2 linked regions of the Macaca fascicularis genome follow. The protein of the gene in region 2 interacts with the protein of the main gene of each other region in a pairwise test. Links are inferred from orthologs where the notes say so. Each region holds a gene or a part of one and is shown on either strand. Other genes may lie near its edges. The genes, in order: KIZ and TACC3.

Region 1 (3,811 bases), on a different chromosome or scaffold from region 2:
AAAAAATTGAATGGCTTACTCTCTAGTTAGTGCGTGAGTGGAGGATTCCTTTTCTGAATCAGGAGAGCTTAGGGTTTGCAAAATACAATTATTTTTTTCAGTGGATAGGGCATCTCTTTCTTGCTCAGCATGGATTAATTTTAAGGCCTCTATTCCATCTTCTCCCTCCACCTTGCCACCTGGATTTGGCTGTGGTTCTGGGCTCTTTAAAAACAGGTCATCTTCACTTATTGAAACAGTGAGGTCACTGCTGGTGCTCCAACTTTCCTCCTCCTCCTCTTCCTGCTTTTTTCTGAAGGGCTTTTGTGACTTTGGGTCCCCGTGAGCAAGATGATCTGCAAGTGGGGACATGAATCGATTACCAATCACTGACTTCAGGGGGAAGCAAGGTAACACACAGCAGAATCACTCATCAGTTAAAAACACGGAGAAGCAGCCCACACACAATTCATTACGGAACTTAAAAGCTTAAACATATTTTCAAATGTTTAAAAAAAAATCACAGCGGGTTTAAAAATCAGCAAATTCACTTGCATGTACATTTTTAAGAGTTCATTAGAATGGATTTTGTTGGCAAAGATACTATTTTATGACAAAGAGAGATAATTAGAGAGTATATTTTGTCCTTACATAAGATCACTACCACCCAGAAAACTCAGCAACCAAACTCAGCCTCTCATCCCACCTGAAACACCTTGCCAAGGAGAATGCTTCTCTTGAGACCACTTATTTTCAGATTCACAGTATTCCGAAACTGATATCGGAGAGACTGGCGGGCTGGCTCTTTTTTCCTCAACTTCAATATGTTCCCGTGTCAGTATTTCTCCCTCTGATCCCTCTGATCTGCTGGAACTGTCACACTTTAAACCAGTGGTTCTCTTCTCTGGACTTAATCTTTCCTGTAACGGGGAATTGAGTTCAGCAGACTTTTTGCCTTCAGATAAATTACTCTTGCCATGACGTGTGTTACTTCCTATCTCCAAGCAATGAGTTTGTTCCTCCTCAGACAATACACTGGCTGTGACTGGCGTTTTCTCACCAATCTGAAGAGATGCCTTTCCATCTATGTTGTCAGACTTATTTAAGCACTGTGTGTCATTACTAGTTTGTACTACACAGCTGTCTGTCACATTACTTCTCTGGGCTGTCTGTCGGTGTGAATGTGGGTCAGGAATTGAAAAGTTCTTTGTTGGTTGGGGAGATTTGTGCTCTGTACTGAAATCTCCCATGCTTGAGACGGCTGACATTTGGCGGCCCATAAAGATTGTTGCTGGTTGATACAATCCTCTTGACATGGCTGTTCCTGAGTTAATTCCCTCCTGCACTGCAACCTGCAACACCAAAAGAGATGTGAGCTAAACATATTGTGTATAAACAATTAGGTGGTTTTTTTTTTTTCCCCCGGAAATGAAAGGAGGTCAAACAAAGCATGATTACTGAAATCAGCACCTACCACGTTTTATTAAACTCATGGCTTCCTACATAATGAATGAGCAAAAAGCAGTAAAGTCCATACAATTTAATTTTAATAACAATGATAGTTCACAAAACCAACATAGTAAAGAAAGTAGGCCAGGTGTGGTGGCTCATGCCTGCAATCCCAGCACTTTGGGAGGCTAAGGTGGGCAGATCACCTGAGGTTAGGAGTTCGAGACCAGCCTGGCTAACATGGTAAAACTCTGTCTCTGCTAAAAATACAAAAATTAGCCGGGCATGGTGGCAGGTGCCTGTGATGCCAGCTGTTTGGGAAGCCGAGGCAGGAGAATCACTTGAACCCGGGCAGCAGAGATTGCAGTGAGCTGAGATCATGCCACTGCACTCCAGCCTGGAGACTCCATCTCAAAAAAAAAAAAAGAAAGTACAGAATATATGTTTTTGAAAAAAGAAATACATGCTTTGAAAAGACATCATTAGGAAAGTGAAAACCCACACAATGGGAGAAAATATTATAAATTATGTATTTGATAAGGGTCTAGTATCCAAAATACATAAAGAAGTCATATAACTATGTAATAAAAAGACAAATAGCCCTTAAAAGTGGGAAAAGGATTTAGATAGACATTTCTCCAAAGAAGATATATGAATGGCCAATAAACACATAAAATGATACTATCGTTACTCATTAGGGAAACATAATTCAAAAGCACAGTAAGATATCACTTTACCCACTATGATGGCTGTCTTGGTCTGTTCATGCTGCTGTAACAAAATATCATAAACTAGACAGTGTATAAATAACAGAAATTTGTTTCTGATAGTTCTGGAGGCTGGGAAGTCCAAGATCGAGGCAGGCGCCAGTAGACTCCGGGTCTGGTAAGGAACTGCTTTCTCTCAGACAGCATCTTTCTGCTGTGTGCTCGCAGGGTGGAAGGGGCAAGCAAATTTCCCCGGCCTCTTTTATAAAGAAACTATTGTGCCCATGAAGGCTCTGCCCCCTTGATTCAATCACTTCCCAAAGTCCTCATCCTCAAAAACCAACACCTTGGGGATTAGAATTTCTTTTTTTTCTTTTTTTTTTTTTTTGAGACGGGGTCTCGCTCTGTCCCCCAGGCTGGAGTGCAGTGGCCGGATCTCAGCTCACTGCAAACTCCACCTCCCGGGTTCACGCCATTCTCCTGCCTCAGCCTCCCGAGTAGCTGGGACTACAGGCACTCGCCACCTTGCCCGGCTAGTTTTTTGTATTTTTTTTAGTAGAGACGGGGTTTCACCGTGTTAGCCAGGATGGTCTCGATCTCCTGACCTCGTGATCCACCCGTCTCGGCCTCCCAAAGTGCTGGGATTACAGGCTTGAGCCACCGCACCCGGCCTAGAATTTCAATACATGAATTGTGCCGGGGGCGGGGGGGGGACACAAATATTCAGCCCATATCAATGGCTATACTAAGAAAGATAGACGTTTTAATTTAGGATATTTAAGATGGAGAGTATCCCTCCAATAATTAGGAGAAATATGAGATAGAAATAAAGACATTATCACTTACAGGTTCTGGAGAGTACACGGCATACCTGGAGGCCAGCACACAAACGTCAGGGAGTGCAGGCAGAGAGAGGAAGAAAAGGGACCCGTGTCCTCACATGGTGGAAGCAGTGGTTTGAGGGGAAGGACACATGAGCCAATGTCTTTAATGGGTCCCAGGTGTTATCCAAACAGGTTTCCCAAAGGCAGCATGGGGAGTTTTAACTGGTGAGTTTAAAGCAAGCAGGCATGAGTTTTGGGAGGTTACCCAGTGACTGAGAGGTGGTCACTGTGGCATATGGTCCATGGGGAATGTGAAGGTAAGAAGGGCCTGTCAAGCAGGCTGTATCCAGCTATCCCATAGGGAAGTGGTCACCAGAGAGCAGCTGTGTAAGGCAGGTATCTGGACCAACCACACTGAGGAACTGGGGAAAAAGGTGGAACTGCCAACTGTGTCGGGGTGACTCAGTCCTGCTTCTGGTATGAGAAGGTTCAACTTAGATTTAAAATGTTTGCTGAGGCAACATAAAATTATAAGAATTCACTACGGCCGGGGCGCAGTGGCTCAAGCCTGTAATCCCAGCACTTTGGGAGGCCGAGACGGGCGGATCACAAGGTCAGGAGATCGAGACCATCCTGGCTAACACGGTGAAACCCCGTCTCTACTAAAAAAATACAAAAAACTAGCCGGGCAAGATGGCGGGCGCCTGTAGTCCCAGCTACTCGGGAGGCTGAGGCAGGAGAATGGCGTAAACCCCGGAGGCGGAGCTTGCGGTGAGCTGAGATCTGGCCACTGCGGCTCCAGCCTTGGCGACAGAGCGAGACTCCGTCTCGGGGGGGAAAAAAAAAATTCAC
Region 2 (3,811 bases):
TCTAAGCGCTTGGGTCCCAAGGGTTGGGGACCCAGGGCATGCAGTATCCAAGGCAGGAGGCCCATAGAAAGGTGGTCACGGCTATGCAAGGTCACCCTGGCGTCCTCCTGGCCATAGGACTCTGAGCGCCCTCCACCTTCTGTGCTGGGCAAGGCCCATGTGCTGCTGGAAGGAGGGATGTCTGGGCCATCCATCTGCCTGGAGCAGGCCTGGAAGGTACCTGCGAGGCCACCAGAGGGTTCTGCCCACAGCAGTAGTGTTGGAGCGGAGGTGCTCAGTGTCTCCTGTAGAGGAGCTGGACCTGTGGGTGCAGCTGGAAGAGGGCCTGTCACCATTGGTGCAAGGGGCTGGGGACACCAGATGGGTCCCCTGGGAGTCAGACTAAACTAGAACAGTGGCCCTTGCAGGGGCTGGCTCAGCCACACCTCATCTCAGTCCTGAAGTCAGGTGGGTGTCAGTGGCTGGGGCCCAGCTGCCTAAGAGAAGCAAGTCTGAATACTCTCTGGAAGAAGGTGTCTTAATGCTTTAAATTGCTGCTACAGAGTTTTAAATTAGTGTCTGGCACAGAATAACCAAGTGTGAAAGGAACAGGAAACATGAGTGAAAATCAGACCTGTTATTAGAGTGAGGCATGGTGATATACGCCTGTGGTCCTAGCTACTTGGGAGGCTGAGGTGGGGGGATCGTTTGAGTTCGGGAGGTGGAGGCTGCAGTGAGCCACAATTGTATCACTGCACTCCAGCCTGGGCAATAGACCAAGACCCCCATCTCTAAAATTAAAAAAAAAAAAAAAAAAAGAAAACTGTTGATAGACCCACGGGAGCCCCAGATGTTTTAGGTGGCACCAGCAGGTAATGCCCCAGATCTGCAGGGAGCAGATGGGAAGGGCCTCGCGGCAGCAGAGTGCAGTAATCTGGCTCAGTACAGACGCTTGGAGAGGCTGCTGACTTGAGGACACAGTGGCTTTGCTGACCTTCCCTCAGGTTGGGCTGTGGTGTGAGCAGCTGCCTTGGCCTTGCCTCTCCTCGGGGTAGGCCTGTGCCTCAGCTCCCACTGGCCACCTCCCCACTTTCTCATGGAGGCTTCTTTGCACATCTAATCCCATCTCGGAGGACCCAGTGCAGAGTTTAAAGTAATTGCCTTCTGTGTTCAAAAGAGTATTGCTTCAGTAGAGACCTCGAAACTAGAAAAGAATCCCCTTTGGGAGGCCAAGACAGGCAGATCACTTGAGGTCAGGAGTTCGAGACTAGCCTGGCCAACATGGTGAAACCCCGTCTCCTAAAAATACAAAAATTGGGCTGGGCAAGGTGGTTCATGCCTGTATTCCCAGCACTTTGGGAGGCCAAGGCAGGTGGATCACCTGTCAGGAGTTCAAGACCAGCCTGACCAATATGGTGAAACCTCATCTGTACTGAAAATACAAAAATTAGCTAGGTAGGCATGGTGGCATTCGCCTGTAGTCTAAGCTACTCGGGAGGCTGAGGCAGGAGAATCGTTTGAACCTGGGAGGCAGAGATTGCAGTGAGCCGATAGCGCACCATTGCACTCCAGCCTGGGCAACAGAGCAAGACTCCATCTCAAAAAAAAAAAAAAAAAAATTAGCGGGGCATGGTGGTGCAGGCCTGTAGTCCCAGCTCCTCAGGAGGTTGAGGCATGATCATCACTTGCACCTGGTAGGCGGAGGTTGCAGTGACCTAAGATTGCGCCGCTGCACTCCAGCCTGTGCCACAGAACGAGACTGTCTCTAAGAAACAAAAAATACGGAAAAACTAGGCCAGTTTATGCCTGTAATCCCAGCACTTTGGGAGGCCGAGGCAGGAGGACCACGAGGTCAGGAGTTCAAGACCATCCTGGCCAACATGGTGAAACCCTGTCTGTACTGAAAATACAAAAATTAGCTGGGTGTGGTGGCAGGCACCTGTAGCCCCAGCTACTCAGGAGACTGAGGCAGGAGAATTGGGAGGTGGAGGTTGCAGTAAGCCGAGATCGTGCCATTGCACTCCAGGCTGGCGACAGAGCGAGACTCAGTCTCAAAAAAAAAAAACTAGAGAAGAACCAAATGGAAATTTCTTTTTTTTTTTTTTTTTTTTTTTTTGGAGACGGAGTCTCGCTCTGTCGCCCAGGCTGGAGTGCAGTGGCCGGATCTCAGCTCACTGCAAGCTCCGCCTCCCGGGTTCACGCCATTCTCCTGCCTCAGCCTCCCGAGTAGCTGGGATTACAGGCATGTGCCACCTCGCCCGGCTAAGTTTTTGTATTTTTAGTAGAGACGGGGTTTCACTGTGTTACCCAGGATGGTCTCGATCTCCTGACCTCGTGATCCACCCGTCTCAGCCTCCCAAAGTGCTGGGATTACAGGCTTGAGCCACCGCGCCCGGCCAAAATGGAAATTTCTAACAGGTACACAGTTAACAAAGTTAGCAGTTCAGAGGGTACAGGTCAGATGAGGGAAGCAGAGGGTGAGCTGGGAGCCAATGTGTGGACGGCAGCCCCCAGAGCCAGAGGGAGAGACGCTGCTGTGGCGGGAGGCTTGACCTGTGTCGACGTGAGAGCTTTCGGCTGCCACCTCCCAGACAGACGCTGTTGGGAATTTTCCACAGCAGAGAAACACAGGGCTGTGGGTTTATGGGAGGTGTGACCTCCGCAGGACATCGTGGGCTGCATGCTGGATGGGTGCTCCTGGGATACAGGGCTGCAACAGAGGAGTGGGGATGGCTGGGCTGTGAGGCTGCTGGGGGCACTGCAGGAAGAGGGCAGGTGGGCTGAGCCTTCTCCAAGCAGAGGCCACTCGGGGGCCCAGGAGCCCCTCAATTGGGGCTTCTCGGTCACTGAGCGGAAGGTGCCCCCAGAGCTGTGGGGAGCAGGCAGGTCTGGGTAACCATGTGGCTCCTGCTGGCCTCCCCTGCCTGTCCCCAAAGCACAGGGTCCATCTCCAGAGGGGGAGGGGCTGGGCTGTCAGTGGTCCCAGGTGCATCCCACTTTCCAGCAGCACTTGGTGCCAGCAGAAGCTACAGGTGTGGCAGGAGGGGGCGCAGCCGTGAGGGCACCAGGTTCAGGCCTGGCGTCTCTGAGGGTGGAGAGCCAGGGCTGTCCTGAACCTCCAGAGGGGGTGAGCTGGGAACTTGTGTGGAGGGGCTTTTTCCACAAGGAAAACAGGAGGTACTGCCTCATGACTGATGCCCCAGACAGCCTTGAGGGTCTGCAGGTCCCCAGACACCAAGCCTGGGTACTCTCCAGCAGATGGCATGGTACCCACAGCTAATGCCTGCCCCTTCCTAGAACGAAGAGTCACTGAAGAAGTGTGTGGAGGATTACCTGGCGAAGATCACCCAGGAAGGCCAGAGGTACCAAGCCCTGAAGGCGCATGCGGAGGAGAAGCTGCAGCTGTGAGTGCTGGGCGAGGCCCCCACCCTGGAGGGAGAGTCTGAGCACCTGGGCCCCAGCTCAGCCTCTGCCCTGCCCTTACCCGTCCAGGGCAAATGAGGAGATCGCCCAAGTCCGGAGCAAGGCCCAGGCGGAAGTGTTGGCCCTCCAGGCCAGCTTGAGGAAGGAGCAGATGCGGATCCAGTCGCTGGAGAAGACAGTGGAGCAGAAGGTGGGTGCGGGAAGCCCAGCTCACGGGGCCGGCTGGCAGCACCTTCTAGAAGGCCCTTGGGCCTGCCGCTCCCTCCAGGCAGGGAGAAGCCCCCGCAACTCATCTTCCTTATCCAGACTAAAGAGAATGAGGAGCTGACCAGGATCTGCGACGACCTCATCTCCAAGATGGAGAAGATCTGACCTCCCGGGTGCCGCTGTCCCGCCCCTGCTCCCGTCC

Evidence for each region.
Region 1: the proteins of TACC3 (region 2) and KIZ interact in binary tests that used the Homo sapiens proteins (3 or more experiments, as listed by UniProt). The two-hybrid records come from large-scale screens. The link is inferred for Macaca fascicularis from reciprocal best matches to the Homo sapiens genes TACC3 and KIZ.

What each region holds. Positions count from the first base shown.
Region 1 is NC_088384.1:66,160,861-66,164,671, forward strand, and holds part of KIZ (centrosomal protein kizuna), read right to left. Parts: intron 1,332-3,811; coding exon 686-1,331; intron 336-685; coding exon 20-335; intron 1-19. UniProt on the Homo sapiens protein: Centrosomal protein required for establishing a robust mitotic centrosome architecture that can endure the forces that converge on the centrosomes during spindle formation. Required for stabilizing the expanded pericentriolar material around the centriole.
Region 2 is NC_088379.1:1,885,064-1,888,874, forward strand, and holds part of TACC3 (transforming acidic coiled-coil-containing protein 3), read left to right. Parts: intron 1-3,276; coding exon 3,277-3,383; intron 3,384-3,471; coding exon 3,472-3,592; intron 3,593-3,708; coding exon 3,709-3,774; 3' UTR 3,775-3,811. UniProt on the Homo sapiens protein: Plays a role in the microtubule-dependent coupling of the nucleus and the centrosome. Involved in the processes that regulate centrosome-mediated interkinetic nuclear migration (INM) of neural progenitors.